Linked DNA regions of Neodiprion lecontei. The protein of the gene in region 2 interacts with the protein of the main gene of each other region in a pairwise test. Links are inferred from orthologs where the notes say so. Each region holds a gene or a part of one and is shown on either strand. Other genes may lie near its edges.

The links. The genes of interacting proteins can lie anywhere in the genome.
Region 1: the proteins of prefoldin subunit 5 (region 2) and prefoldin subunit 6 interact in a two-hybrid assay, tested with the Caenorhabditis elegans proteins (2 studies listed by BioGRID). The link is inferred for Neodiprion lecontei from reciprocal best matches to the Caenorhabditis elegans genes pfd-5 and pfd-6.

Annotation. Positions count from the first base shown.
Region 1 is NC_060266.1:6,915,028-6,923,416, forward strand, and holds prefoldin subunit 6, read right to left. Parts: upstream 5,620-8,389; 5' UTR 5,327-5,619; coding exon 5,263-5,326; intron 5,181-5,262; coding exon 4,985-5,180; intron 4,581-4,984; coding exon 4,460-4,580; 3' UTR 1,820-4,459; downstream 1-1,819. Other genes in the region: glutamine synthetase 2 cytoplasmic, read left to right, coding at 517-1,442; methylosome protein 50, read right to left, coding at 7,660-7,846, 7,961-8,153. UniProt on the Caenorhabditis elegans protein: Binds specifically to cytosolic chaperonin (c-CPN) and transfers target proteins to it. Binds to nascent polypeptide chain and promotes folding in an environment in which there are many competing pathways for nonnative proteins.
Region 2 is NC_060262.1:34,389,642-34,395,989, forward strand, and holds prefoldin subunit 5, read right to left. Parts: upstream 3,333-6,348; 5' UTR 3,208-3,332; coding exon 3,003-3,207; intron 2,476-3,002; coding exon 2,189-2,475; 3' UTR 1,640-2,188; downstream 1-1,639. Other genes in the region: trypsin-3-like, read right to left, coding at 95-235, 327-590; AP-3 complex subunit mu-1, read left to right, coding at 4,904-4,938, 5,021-5,205, 5,344-5,578, 5,657-5,816, 5,917-6,030, 6,103-6,282. UniProt on the Caenorhabditis elegans protein: Binds specifically to cytosolic chaperonin (c-CPN) and transfers target proteins to it. Binds to nascent polypeptide chain and promotes folding in an environment in which there are many competing pathways for nonnative proteins.

The sequences.
Region 1 (8,389 bases), on a different chromosome or scaffold from region 2:
CCGTACCTTTCTCGAATCATGAAGTAATCACTGTAATGAAATTGTATACTACGGCATGATATATTAAAACCGACAATTTGAAGAATTGCTTATTACGGATTACCGATGCAAATTAGTGACCTTATACATATAATGATTATTTTGAGAATCTCCACATACCTTACTGTCCACTGTCGTGATGACAAGTATTGGATAATGTCCTCATGACGTCAGAACCTGATTATCGGCGTCATTTTATCACCACATAACCTAAGTTTTTAATTTTAATGGAAGCAAATCGTACTTCTTGGAGTTTCAAATCACTCATGTCATGTAAATTAATTAACCAACATCAATAATACATCTGTTCTAACATCCACACGTGAAAAACACGTCGATCAACGCTCAGCTGTCAGTCTGATTGCATTACTTTAATTTGTTTTCCACCAGATGACGCATTGAAAAGTGACAATGCCAGTATTCAGAAAAGATGAACCTAGTTAACGAAGCTCATACCATACGTTTGTTCATTTGCAGAGTTGCCAATTTGGACGTACGACGGTAGTTCAACGTACCAAGCGGACGGTGCCAACAGTGACATTTACCTGACCCCGGTGGCGATCTATCGCGACCCCTTCCGAAGAGGCGACAACAAGCTTGTCCTCTGCGAGACTTACAAGCCGGACAAGACACCGACGGAAAGTAACAAGCGGTTCGCCGCCATGCAATCGATGGAAGCCGTGAAGGATCAGGAGCCGTGGTTCGGTATCGAGCAGGAGTACACCTTCCTCGACTTCGACAACAGGCCGTTGGGCTGGCCGAAGAACGGTTACCCCGGACCCCAGGGACCGTACTACTGCGGTGTCGGTGCGGACCGAGTGATCGGGCGGGAAATCGTCGAGGCTCATTACAGAGCGTGTCTTTACGCCGGGGTGAAGATCGCCGGAACAAACGCCGAGGTGATGCCCTCGCAGTGGGAGTTCCAGGTCGGTCCCTGCGTCGGTATATCGGGGGGAGACGACCTTTGGATGGCGCGGTTCATCCTCCACCGCATCGCCGAGGAGTACGGCGTGATCGCGACCCTCGACCCGAAACCCGTCGATGGAGCGTGGAACGGCGCTGGTGCCCACACCAATTTCTCGACGAAGACGATGCGCGCCGATGGCGGAATCGCCGAGATCGAGAGGGCCATCGACCGCCTCAGCAAGAAGCACCTCAGGCACATCCAGGCCTACGATCCACGCGGAGGAAAGGACAACGAGCGCCGTTTAACCGGAAAGTGCGAGACCAGCAGTATCCACGACTTCAGCGCCGGCGTCGCGAACAGGAACGTCAGTATTCGTATACCTCGCGGCGTCGCCGAGGACAAGAAAGGGTACTTGGAGGACAGGAGGCCCAGTAGTAACTGTGATCCTTATTCCGTCATCGACGCCCTTGTTCGCACTTGCGTTCTAAACGAGTAATCGGACTTGGTGTATAAATTGTACAATACGGGGAGGGGGGGGGGTCGACGATTTATCATTGGGAATGGAAATGTAACGCTGTGACATCTGGTGGCGAAAAAATACGTTAACCTAATTTCGGGGCCCGTATTTAATTTTTAATGAGCACTTTTATCGTATTTTTTACAGGTTATCGGCTGCATGTGAAAAAATTAAAGCCTCGCAAATTGCATCAAGTTGTCTGTATATGTTTTCTATTCGCATAATTGACATAAAATATTTTGCCGATAGTTCGGTTCTCGTCGCCATATTGCTTTATAGCTACACCTCCACGTTCGTTCCCGGAATAATCACAGAAAGCCAGTTGAAGTTTACATGAATAATTTTTCGTTAATTCGTTTCACATCCTCTAGCATCTGTCTTAGAGAAGGGTTATGAACTAATCAAGAGGAATTAATATCACGATTTTATAGATCTTTGACCAGCAGGATTGACGGGGTTATTTTTATTGCGTCCATATCGTAACATAGTTCAACTGTCTTGGCTGAGGTCCATTCGCCTGAAGAATCTTTGAACTGCGCATATCAATTGACGCGTAGGGCTTGAAATAAAATGCTAAAGTGAAAGTCAGCAGTTGTGCCCACGTCCAACTTACGTGACCATGAAATACACGAACCTGGCGTCAGACACGCGTGTAATACCCTTACATAATTCACAAATTTGAGTCAATATTGAATATAGGATATGTGTATACAATAATAAGACGCGTTGATACTAACAAAAGAATTAATTACGCCCAACTAACGTTAACGTGAAATCCTATTAAACCTCTCGGCCGCGCACGCGAAATGTAAGAATATAGATAATAAAAATTGATAATACAATGTATATGCGCCAGCGCACCAGCGTCATACAATTGGCAACAATAATATTCTATTTTAATATGATATTGAGATATTATATATAATTATGTACGTAATCGTTGTAATATGTATATTATATTATAATATATTATATATACTTTCCTATTTGTATAAACATATTTTCTATATCAACGTTGTAGATACGAATCATTATACTATTACCATATTATAAATATTATATACACGATAAAGATAATAATTACTATGTTTAGGAGGAGGTTCGCGCTACCGACTGGGGCCGGATACCCGCTTGTTATGTTATCTATTAAACAAATATATGAGCAAAAAAGAACGGTGCTCGGATCTGTAATTCATTTCGAAACCCAGCAATTCGATTACTCGCCTGTCCTCCCATTGAAATTTTAAATCATAAGAAATTCGAGACCTCACGGCATATATTATAACAACGAAACTTGACTGCTTATAAATACTGCGTCGGCTTATTATTTATCGATAACGATGTATATTCAATAGGGCAAGACTTGAAAGCTTGTTTGACCATTCAAATTTCGAATGGAATAGAAAATGAAAAGAAATTACGAGGAAACGAATGAAGTTAAGAGTTGTCGTGGGCGTCGGATTAGCCGGAAACTGATCCTATCAAATCCATCGTAAAAAATGTTACGAACATAGTTTTTCTACCGGAGATATATCCAAACTTTAAAGACCTTGCACTTGATAGTTATGAATAAAAATGCGGTCACTTTATTGCATCCTCGTGTTTCCTCATCTTAGTCAGATTTTGGTTCGCAAAGAAATTAGTACACTACGGGATAATATTACATGTTTGTTTATTTTACTAATAGCATATTTTTATTTGACGAAGCCTATATAACTGCTTTTTTTTGCTAAAAATTTGATCCCAAAATATGAATCACCGATAGTCGTTGGGTAAAATTTACTTTTATCAACAATTCTAAGGGAAAAAAAATGTTTCAGTAATTATACCAATGCCGTCAAGGTCTTATGACAAATATTTGCATTTGTTTAGTATTCTTACCTATACGGTAGAATTCAGATATGTAAAAATTCAAATGATTCCGCGATGTTTACTAGTATAGATTAATCGGGAAATATATGATTCCGCATAATAGAATATTCAAATTATCTGCCGACATATTTCGATTATAAATGCTGGTAAACAAACGTAACTTCCCGTACAACTTGATTCTTATTCGAAAAACTACGCAACTCTTTTACTGCGTTATACGATACATCTGCAGTGACTTAATTGGTAAACAGGATGATCTATTTACAAGTGTCAATTCTATATGTTGTTGACAGAGAACTTATGTAAGACTCTTGTAAACATGTGAATGCGATCTTAACAATCATTAGAATGCCCGTTGTTTTACCAGTAGACAATAAATCCTTCATACTGCAAATATTCAGCGAGAAAATTATTTCGCTCTATTTATCGAGGGTATTAAATACTAAACGTTTATAAACTACCACTACGAAGAAATACAAACGGATCAACAATAAGTAGACCTTATTGTGGGCTACGCTTTTTGAACGTGTAGGATTTTTGAATGAAATTTTCCAACGAATTAAAAGAGATTGGCCAGTTTCGCATTCTGAACAATGACTTTTATACAGCACAATTTACGAATATCAATACGAAAGTCGAACTCTGTTAATGGAAGTATTTAAATTTCATGAAATAAGAAGAACCACAAACGATCTTTTTTCGCACAGAAATAGAAGCAAAAACTAGTTACTTCTATAGTTTTTAATTGAGTTATTTAGTTTTTATATATAGTTTTCATATATTTTTAATATTTCAATTTTGAAACATTCCTTTCAACATCTTCAAGATTAGATTATTAAATAGAGGCAATGGTACCTTTTTGATCTACTGTTAATTATTTTTCCAAGGGATCTATGATTTTATAATTTTCAAAAGTATATTCTTTATTGAGGTTTTAAACGAGGTCAGTAAATTAAATTTAGATCTAATTATGTATTAGATAATTAATGTATTTAATGAAAAATATGAATGAGAATTATAACGTTCACATTAGGGACTTCAGATGACAAGATAATCTCAAAGCGTACACAGCAGTAGTGAATTATTTAGTAGATTATTAACAATTATGTATTTTCCGATCGTTTTTAGGCCTTCATAGCTGCCTTCAATTGAGCCTGTTGAAAGGATTGTTGAAGTTTAGCCAATGCCTCGCGGTGAGTATCCTGCTTTTTGTCCAGGTTTGCTATCAAATCTTCAGTGCGTTTTCTGAAAACAATATTAAACACTCTTCGATTGGCAAGTCTTATTACTATACTTATGTATCTGTAATTCTGTGAAAGTATCAGCTTTCCAATCAAATTGACAGATTTACGATTGTTCGGCACTATGCCTTCTTTTAGTCAACGTTGGCACCTTTGGCTGCTAGTTTCAGCTTTACGTGAATCTTGAAACACTCGCAAACTTCAAATGTATTTGACCGATAATCAACACTTGGAAGAAATCAAACATCGCTGAATGAAGGTGACTTCATTTATTCAATTAGCATTCGTAACGAAGGTAGTAAGAATCTTGTATATGGCCTTTCGTTGCAAAGTATTCATACTCTTGTTTTGCCTAATGTTGTACTGAAGTTTAAAATTTTTATTAGAAATATCTGAGGCGATACTTACAATTCGGCCGAAATGTACTCCATTCTTTTGACAACGTTTTGCTTTGCCTCTTCCAAGTCCTGCTTGACTAGCACCGGACCAATTAACTTAAAAACCTCGTTCCCTGATTTTAAAAGATCTAATTCTTGTTTTACAGCGGTATTTTCATTTAACTGTCCATCGAGTTGCTGCCGTTGTAGAAGAGCCTTGTGGTAATCTGATATCGAGAAATATTTCTAACGAATTAATGAGTCGAGAGAAAATCAATCCAGTGTTTTAATGGAAAGAGTTGATCTTACCTTTTTGAACAATTTTAAATTTATCAAGTTCAGCTTGAAGTTTCTTTTGAATCTCATCAACCATTTTAATTGAGTAATGTAGATATTACCTTGTGAAATTAAATCAAGAATTGCGATAACGCGATGGTCAATTATTTATTTCTGTAATACCCTAATTTCCACAACTTAGCAGGATTCTATAAATGTTAGGTTAGGTCGAAACATCACGCAATTCCGGAAACCGAAGCAACTTAATGTAGGTGGAAAAGTCGATTGGTATATCAAAAATCTAGTGAAACTGTGAGTGGAACTGAAACAGAGCTTGTTAACAATATAGTGAAGCAAGAAAGACAATAAGGTATGAGTCACAGTAATATTCGCAGGCTGTACAACCGAATGTAATTTTCCTAGTTCATCGGCCTATGACGTTGCAGTAGCACTCCCCGACAATTCCAGAAGTTTGACACTAGATCCAAGGAGCTTTTCTTACGTCATTTTCCGACACGAATCAAAACCACTGATAGCGTTTTCCATTGGATGCACTGAGTGTGAACTGAGAGCGCACTAGCGGTAGACTCGTATTTCCACTAATTTCCAGCGTGTTCCACTGGCAGCTCGGGTACGTGAACTTGGCACTGAGTGCGTAAAATATTGCCCTGAATCGGGAGTCGGTGTCAAAGCAGTGCAATTATGGCTGCCGATCGTGAAAGAGTCTAAGTAGGTGCTGTGACAGCAATTCTTTTATTAGATCTAATTTCATCTTCGTCTAGCAGTGATGATGACTTGCTGGAGCCGAAAGATAGAGGAGAGATTCCCAAAATTTTAAATGTCCTAGGAGTAATCCACAGCATGTCCGATATCGAAGTATGGATACACATTTTTTCAGCTTTTAGAGGTTAACTGCTAGGTATATTTCAGGAGATTGGGACAGCTCGACTTGCTACTTATTAATTTTTATCTTTTCAGTGGAATTGTCAATTTTTTTTGCCCCTGTATGCTCGTGCCTAACATTTGTGACATATATTTACAAACAAAAAATTACCGTTGCGTTTGTTCAATTGGCTCCTTTATCACTTGCTTGAAAAAACTGACAGTCGCGCAGTCAGTCAAGTAACGTCACATTATTTCTGATTTAGGAGAAATTATGATTTGGAGGCTTATTACGGTTCTCGAGCGAGTTTACTCACTTCTCACATTTTCATCTCACGTGAGTTTAGTCACTCTATTACGGATCTCTCGAGTGAAAATGTGAAGTAACTAGGCACTTCCGGTATAGGGATCTCACATTTTCACGAAAGTTGACTCCATTTTGTCAGATAACCTAGAAAAGTTGTTGTGAATGTCAGAAAGAATTGTTGAAGAAAATGAACGTGACAGAAGTGTAATATATAAAATATGTAATAAATAATATAAATATATATAAGTTATATTGAATGGGTCTGAGGCATCGCGTAGTGTTCGTCGTATTCTGAGCATTCGATTTTCCCGATTTTGCATAATCACGATCACTAAATTATTCATTGTACAAGTTCCCACGTATCAATAACTTTTACTCTTTAACCAACAAATATGGAGTGATCTTCGTTCTTTTATGAAACCGATGGAACTTTCAGGCAAATCCAAGCAAATTACGCTCACGAGCATGCGCAGAACGATTCTCGACACCGAATTTCGTGTCGAGTTTATTCATGTGGATAACGTCTTTTCACCTCGTGAGATTCACCGTAATAGAGCGAGCCAGTCACTTTCGTCATTTTCACTCGATTCGAGAACCGTAATAAGCCCCCTAGTCTGCCTTTATACGTTTTACGGCGTGTTCCACTCAGAAGGTTTGCCCCGATGCCGGGCGACGCATGCACGGAACGAATGCCCCCTGTTCGAGCCAGTGCAACCAGTAGAAAACGCTATGAAATATATTTCTATATTTCAGTGATCACACTTTTTAGTGACTGTAGTGGTTGGATCTAACGGAATAGGCCAATGAAACAACTTAGTGTCATGTGTCAGAAATTGACACAAGGACAGTGCATGTTCAATCGCGTTTTTGAGACAAATCGGGAAAGGGATGATCGTTTCAATTACCTTACGATTAAAAATATTAACACAGTTCAGAATGATGTAAGCTTACTCGAGATTGCATAAGAATGGCATGTTGGGAAGTTATTATTTGTGTTCATGAATACTGGTATGTTGTATGTATGAAATTACAACCATGTATTAAAATTGTTAAAACGAAACCAATGATACAATAGTATATACAATGTTGTAAGCATTTATTAAAAATGTATGAAATAAACAGTAACTTCAAATTGTTAGGGCACTGATTCAGATGACAATTAACGAGGCAACATCTCGACATAACGAATGACTTGCATAGTTGTCGATTCTGTATCGAGTAATTTAATGTGCAAATCAACATCAAGAAGATATCGCATGTTCCAGAACAGTGTTATCCCAGGAAGCTGTTAGTAGACAATTTTGGTCCCATGCCAATCCACGAACAAAGTCACGATGGTTCTTATTTTCGTATATCACTTCCATGTTGTGGCTTGTATCGAACACCTTCACCTCTGTACTATCGCAGCATCCAGCAAATTGGTCATTTCTATGCAAATTGAATAATTAGGGCAAGTATAAAAATAATTTCAGTGTTGTAGAAACATTATACTCATGTACATAGCCACTGGGAATGAATCAAGCGAAATTGGTTCACACAAACCTGGCTGAATTGAATAAAAGCCTGTAAACTCCTCTAGAAAAAGCTCGAGGGTTTTGGAAAACAGGTTCACTATTTGATTGCCTGACATCAAGCACTAAAATTCTACCATCTGCATCTCCAATCACAAGTTCATGTACATTTTTCGGATTCCATGCTGCTGCAGTCAGTCCACATTCGACATTTTTGATTATACCTTGGAATAGTATTATGATACAGTCACTAATGTTACAGAGGAAAACGAATGTGAAATATTATCAAGTATCTGAAATTAAGCACTTCGCATCAGTTAAGACACTTTGTGGCTTATGTCTGATAATTACAAAATTGAAATCAATGCTAAAGTTGAATATTTGTGTAAAGTGTTTCAGGTTAGTTATTTTTCAAAAAACTTTGCAGAGCAAAAGTCGATGACAAAGGTCGATGACCATG
Region 2 (6,348 bases):
AAGTCGGAGTTGATTGATGTCCCCAACAAATTATGGAATTTTTCGCATATTCGAAAGTATAATTTGTTTGCGGAGAATCTGAAAAGACTTTCACCTGGCAACTATCAATGCCCCCTTCGTCAACACCTGCGCATAGTTGACTGTCTCTCCTGACACCCGAATAAACTTGGTGCCTACATTTTTCGACTGTTATCAATGGCACTCGAACCTTCCTTAGCACATCACCGTAGCCTACCTGTATATAAATATTGAGTGTCTTTCAGCAGGTACCTCATTCTTGTACAAAAACGTAAATTGAATATACAATACGGAGAGTGATAACGTACATCCGAACCTGGCTTCAGCCGCCCCCAGCCCACGACGGTACAGATTGGAAATTTGGTTTGGGCAAGCGTATCGTCAATAGAATTTGGAATAGGAGATGGATAGACAAATCGGGTTATCCTGAAGGGCTCCGTGAGCTTGGGATAATGGACAATAATGCAGGTGAGACGGTTGAAAGAGCGAGAAGGTGAAAACTCGTGTAACAACGATTCGGAAACGTGGCAAACGAACAATAAAATAGAAAAAAACTTTCTTTCGTGAATCATTTTATCACTGTATTTACGTTCAAATTATGCTCTATAGGTACTACTTATGCACTTCGTGAATGCAATGAAATAGAGTCCGTCAACGAAATCTTACTCGATAGAGGCCAATATCGTGATGCATGGTTCTTGGGTTGTACAACGGATGAGGTATCACTAAATTTATCAATTTTATCTGTATTGTACTGCCGTAAAGATTCTTAACTCCAGTGGAACCAGCCACGGCTACAAACACTCGTGGATTTATAAGTTTAAATTTTCCGCGCCTCAATTTTCTGCAATGTGAAAAGGGGATAAAATTAAACCTCAACGGCGTTAGATAAACAGATTTTCATTATTATTTTCGTCCCACAAACTAAAGACGTTAGCCAAATTTCGAACTCACTTACGAAACCATACAATGTGCTGCTGATAAAATGAACTTTGGAAGGATGTAACTGCCACCGCATAAATGACGCTGATATCGTCGTTGAATCGAAACCTAGACGAACAACACGCATCGGAATCGATAATGTCTTATATATATATTACATGTGTTGACTGCTTAATTTTATTAGATTTTTCCAACAGTTTCTTATTCACGTATCCAGAGTATGTGGTTTTGATTGAGCTGACGATTAAATAAGAAAACACGCATGCATACTATGAATGGAAAGTCTTCTATGCTGGTTCGTTTTCCGCCTACAACACGGATGTCCAAACCATGCCCTTTGAGAGCTGCAGACTTTGATCCCGTAGGCTTTAAATGGATGAAGGATAGAAAATCACACAGGTGCAATACCGTTAAAATTCGCTTCGCATTCATACTCGAGAGGCCAAGGGAAAATTTGGCATGAGGTATCTTCTATTTGCAAGTATGGCCATGATTACTTTTTGACACTACATAAAAATAAACATCATACTTTCTATAATCATGAAGTTGCATCTACTATGTTTACCTATATTACTTTAAAATGGGCCAGTAAAGTGGCTAATTTCTACACGTTGCTGCCAGATCTTGATTGAACAAATTAAACGCAATCAAATGTTTAAATTCAATGAATCTCGACTCGTTTCAAACATCAAAATTACGGAGGATACTTTATTATGCATCAATATACAATTGTATTAAATACGCTATGAGATCAAAATATAATATTCTCAAAAAAAATTATTCTTGGTGAATAACGAATATGTAATGCCTGCATGATAATATTCCGCATAATTATTCACACAAAAAAAATCACTTTATTGGTACAGAATAAAATCAACGTTTAATATCGCGCATCAAATTCGAATAAGGTCTTTGCTATTCCCTCGCTGACTGTGGAGTAAAAATATTTTGTAGACAAAAATTGGGGCATAACGATTTTGTTATTAGCAATTATTATTTTACTTGTGCTCTGTGTACAAACAAAACTTTGTATCATTTTATGTGTAAGAAAATGTATAGCTCAATGACTTGAAGCAGTGTTAAACAAGTTGATAACGTAACACCGAATGTACAGTGAAGATATATTCTAGAACAATTTTGAAGAGTTAAATTAAAAATACAGACAAAAGGCATAAAATTAGGGCATGAATTAAAATGAATGTAACTTAATTATGTCACATAGATATCTCTATGCAGTCTCTGCAAGTTCCTTTTGCGTTGACATCTGTCCTTGTATTTTCATCTCCATTACATCCATAATAGCTTCCCTTATTTTACTCTTTTCAAGTCCAATTTGTTGAATTTTCTCCATCTGCTCCGTTACATAATTCACTCTTCTTTTGAAATAATCTTTCGCACCTTGGATATCCTTCTGCGCGTAATACCCAGTCCCAATATCAACTATCACCGTCTCTGTATCAGCTAATTTCCCCGTAACGTACATCGAACCTGTCAGTGGCACGAGTATCTCTTTTCCTGCAAAACAAAATTGATACTGATCAATATTTTCAAGACTTGAACCTGCGAGATTAGAGATCATACAATAAACTATATATTGTTAAAAAAGTAGATTGCATACCAGTCAATCAATATTAAAAAATCCTAGATCAAATGTGAGACAATGATAAGGAGCTTATAATTATCATGATCCATTAAGTAAATAAAGTAAGTTCGTGGATTGAAATTGTTACTGGCATTGCAAATATTGCAGAAAGAATACCCTGCAGATAAATAGGCACAGGGAAACCTAGCTCAGTGAAGAAAAAAAATCTGAACACAGTGGTAATGGGATTGGAATTCAGATCAACTTCTTGTTGAGGAAAAGAAAATTTGAGAAAGTTAAAAATCTCAAAAGGGTCTTGCCTGATTGACTGACATCAGGAATAGGATTTAAAGGTAATGGCAATCTTAAAGACGCGTGAATGATGCATGGCTCATAACCTCCAAATTATAATCGGTTAGCTAGGGATTGGAGAAAATGAAGTGGTTTAAGGAAGGCTTACCCTTAGCGGACGGGGTAAGCTTCTCAAGACTAGTTCCGGACTCTTGGAACTTGTTTTGAGCGATTTTTAGGGTCTGCAGCGAGTCCTGGAAAACACCAAGTTCCTGATCCAATTGTTGCTTCAATTGTGTAAGCTGCTGGAGATTCAACTTCGTCAGGTCAATCTGCTGTAACATCGGGCCCTCGGTTGCAGATATTTGCGACATGATTTCGACGTTATTTTACGCTGTTTGTCAAGCGAATGATTGAGCATATAAATTCTGAATTGCCGCACGATTCGACTGCTCGATCTATGACCATACCGGGATAGGCATTGCTCCCGTTACGTAGATTTCAGCCGTGGAGCATGAGCTTGGATCCGGTGATCGTAGATGGCGCACCTACACGTCTATGTAAGCGACGTCCAGAACAGCTAAGAATATGGAGCGTGTAGGAGGGAATCTTGGTGTTATAAGACGTGTGCCGATTTTGGCTACAAATAGTGCTCGCGGTGCTAGCGCTGTGAAACGTAAGTTGCCCAACTGACTATGGTTTAAAATGTAATAAGTGTAATTATGTAATTAATTAATATCGATCAGGGCCACGTCGGTTATTTTATGTACCCTTATTTGCAGTCCATTAGAGAGTGCCCTCCTTCTGTACACTGCTAGGCTACAAAATTCGAAAAACCCATGGAGCTAGGAAAAATCGCAAAGACTGCTAGCCTTGGGTTTTGTTTCGTAATGGTTGGCCGAGTCTGGGGGGATTTAGGGATAATTCTACTAACCTGCACTTACCTACTCCTCTCTGCCTACTCGTCTTGTAGGATCTGGACGTAAAATCAAGTCGGCATAGCAGAACACTGCAATATTCTTCCGCGAAATACCACTGCAAATAATTGATTCTAGCGATTTTTAAAATCGCCCGTAATTTTTCGAACAAACTGTAAGGCCTTAGTGTTGCTTGCGATTTCTGGGAACGGTAAACTTTTTCAGTCCAAAAATGATAACCAGAACTCTTTTGGATCAACAACTGCAAATGTGCGCCAAAATTTGGGAGAATTTCTCCGTTTTTCGCCTGTGACTTTTGATCCACAGCTCCTAGCAACTTTAGACTATGCATAATCGATTATTTTTACTTTATAATATATCGAAACAGCTTCTGAAATCATTAATTTTAGTGTTTTTTGAACAAAATCCAGTGAGCAACCATAATTTTTATAGCTGTCATTTCAGAGGCAACAAGTTTTTGGGTCCGAGATTTTTTCACCCGCCGCCCGAGCTTTGCATCACTTTTTGACAAATCAAGATTTTTACATGATGAACTCACGCACAATTTTGCTGTCCTGCCGTTTACGTATACAAACGAGATAACAAGCTTTTGCTGTAGAAGTAATTTTCAAGTGTTTTCCAATTAATTGGGAGAACACAGAAATGATGACATGAGCATTTTTACAGTAACTATTGCGAAGTCATAATAAAACCAATTAATGTATTCGTACATATCTAGTATCCTTACTGCAATTCGATAAAATGGATAGTTCATCAGTATCAGCAAGTTTTCAAATACTTGCTGAAAATATTGTCAATTTTGGCTGGAAAAGTGCGAAAAGTTAGGAACCGTTCTCGCATCAGTCACTAAAATTCACCAATATATCAAAGCTATCGAATTCTTTACAACAGTCAATGAACCGGCGCATTTTGTTACCAGGATCTACATATTGACTTGACCGTTACGAGACACGCCAGATATTCATTTGCTGCAGATATCTGTACTGCAAAATGGGGGTGTGAACGAGGCTTAAGAATACGAGATAAACTCACCGTGTCTCAAACCATCCAAGTGTCACTTACCTGTCAACATATTAAAGTTTCCTCAGAATAACTCCGAGTTGAGTTATTCTTCTCAGCCATCAAGGAGAAAATGATTCACAGTTTATTTATAATAAATTCATCAGGGTAAGTTTGTTTCTATATAACAAGTTAGTTCATAAACCTGAGAAATAACCGTGACATAGCCTAAAAATTTGTCACCTTTCAGAGATGTATTTATGGAAAAACATTGGAAAAGTGCGGTCGCGCGATCCCTGTGTGATTATTTTTTTGACCAACAACGTAGAGTTTCTTCACCTGAAGACACGCCACCAGTTATTGCAACACCGCATCATTATTTGATCAGCATATATCGCTGCAATATGTTTTTTGTCGCTGTGTGTATGACGGAAGGTACGCTGTTGCTAAATGCTTCATAGTATTATATCTTTGCTAATTTTAATGTGATCTCATCATTTTTGTTACATTGGTTAATTACAGTTATAATTCTCACGCTGCTGGTAAATATTACATACTTATCGACTGTTTCAGTTCCGCCACTGTTTGTTATCGAGTTTTTACACAGAGTAGTAGACACGTTTGAAGACTACTTCAGTGAATGTACAGAAACAATAATAAAAGAGAATTATGTTGTTGTTTATGAATTGTTGGACGAAATGTTAGACAATGGTTTTCCATTGGCGACAGAATCAAATATCCTCAAAGAACTGATTAAACCACCCAATATTTTAAGAACGATAGCTAATACCGTAACAGGGAAGTCTAAGTAAGTAAAATAACATTACTACTACTGCTATGAGTACAGTAATACTGACAGTCGCTTACCATATTGTACAATTTTCAGTGTGAGTGCAATCTTGCCAAGTGGCCAATTGTCAAATGTACCCTGGCGAAGAACGGGTGTTAAATACACAAATAATGAAGCTTACTTCGATGTTGTTGAGGAAGTTGATGCTATAATTGACAAAACTGGGGCAACAGTTTTTGCAGAAATCCAAGGCTATGTATGAATCGTAAAGTTATATTTTGTAAAAGAAATTCTCATAAACCAGAAATGGAAGCTCTTAATGAATCATATGATAACAAGGCAATATTAATTTTCAGATTGATTGCTGTATTAAATTGAGTGGCATGCCTGATCTCACACTTTCATTCATGAATCCAAGATTATTTGATGATGTCAGCTTCCATCCATGTGTTAGGTTCAAGCGATGGGAGGTTTGTGTCTACATTTATAACATAAATGTAAACAATATTGACTCACAGGCAGAATAACTTATACTATTTTAGTCCGAGAGAATATTGTCCTTCATTCCACCAGATGGTAACTTCCGACTTCTGTCCTACCATATCGGGTCGCAAAGTATTGTGGCAATTCCTATATACGTAAGGCATAATATAAGCCTAAAGGAATCTGGTGGCGGCAGATTGGATATTACAGTTGGGCCTAAACAAACTGTTGGACGAACTGTAAGCAATTTTATGCAATCTTTTAAGCTTTGAATATGTTTGAAAAAAACTGTAAGTGACTTGCAG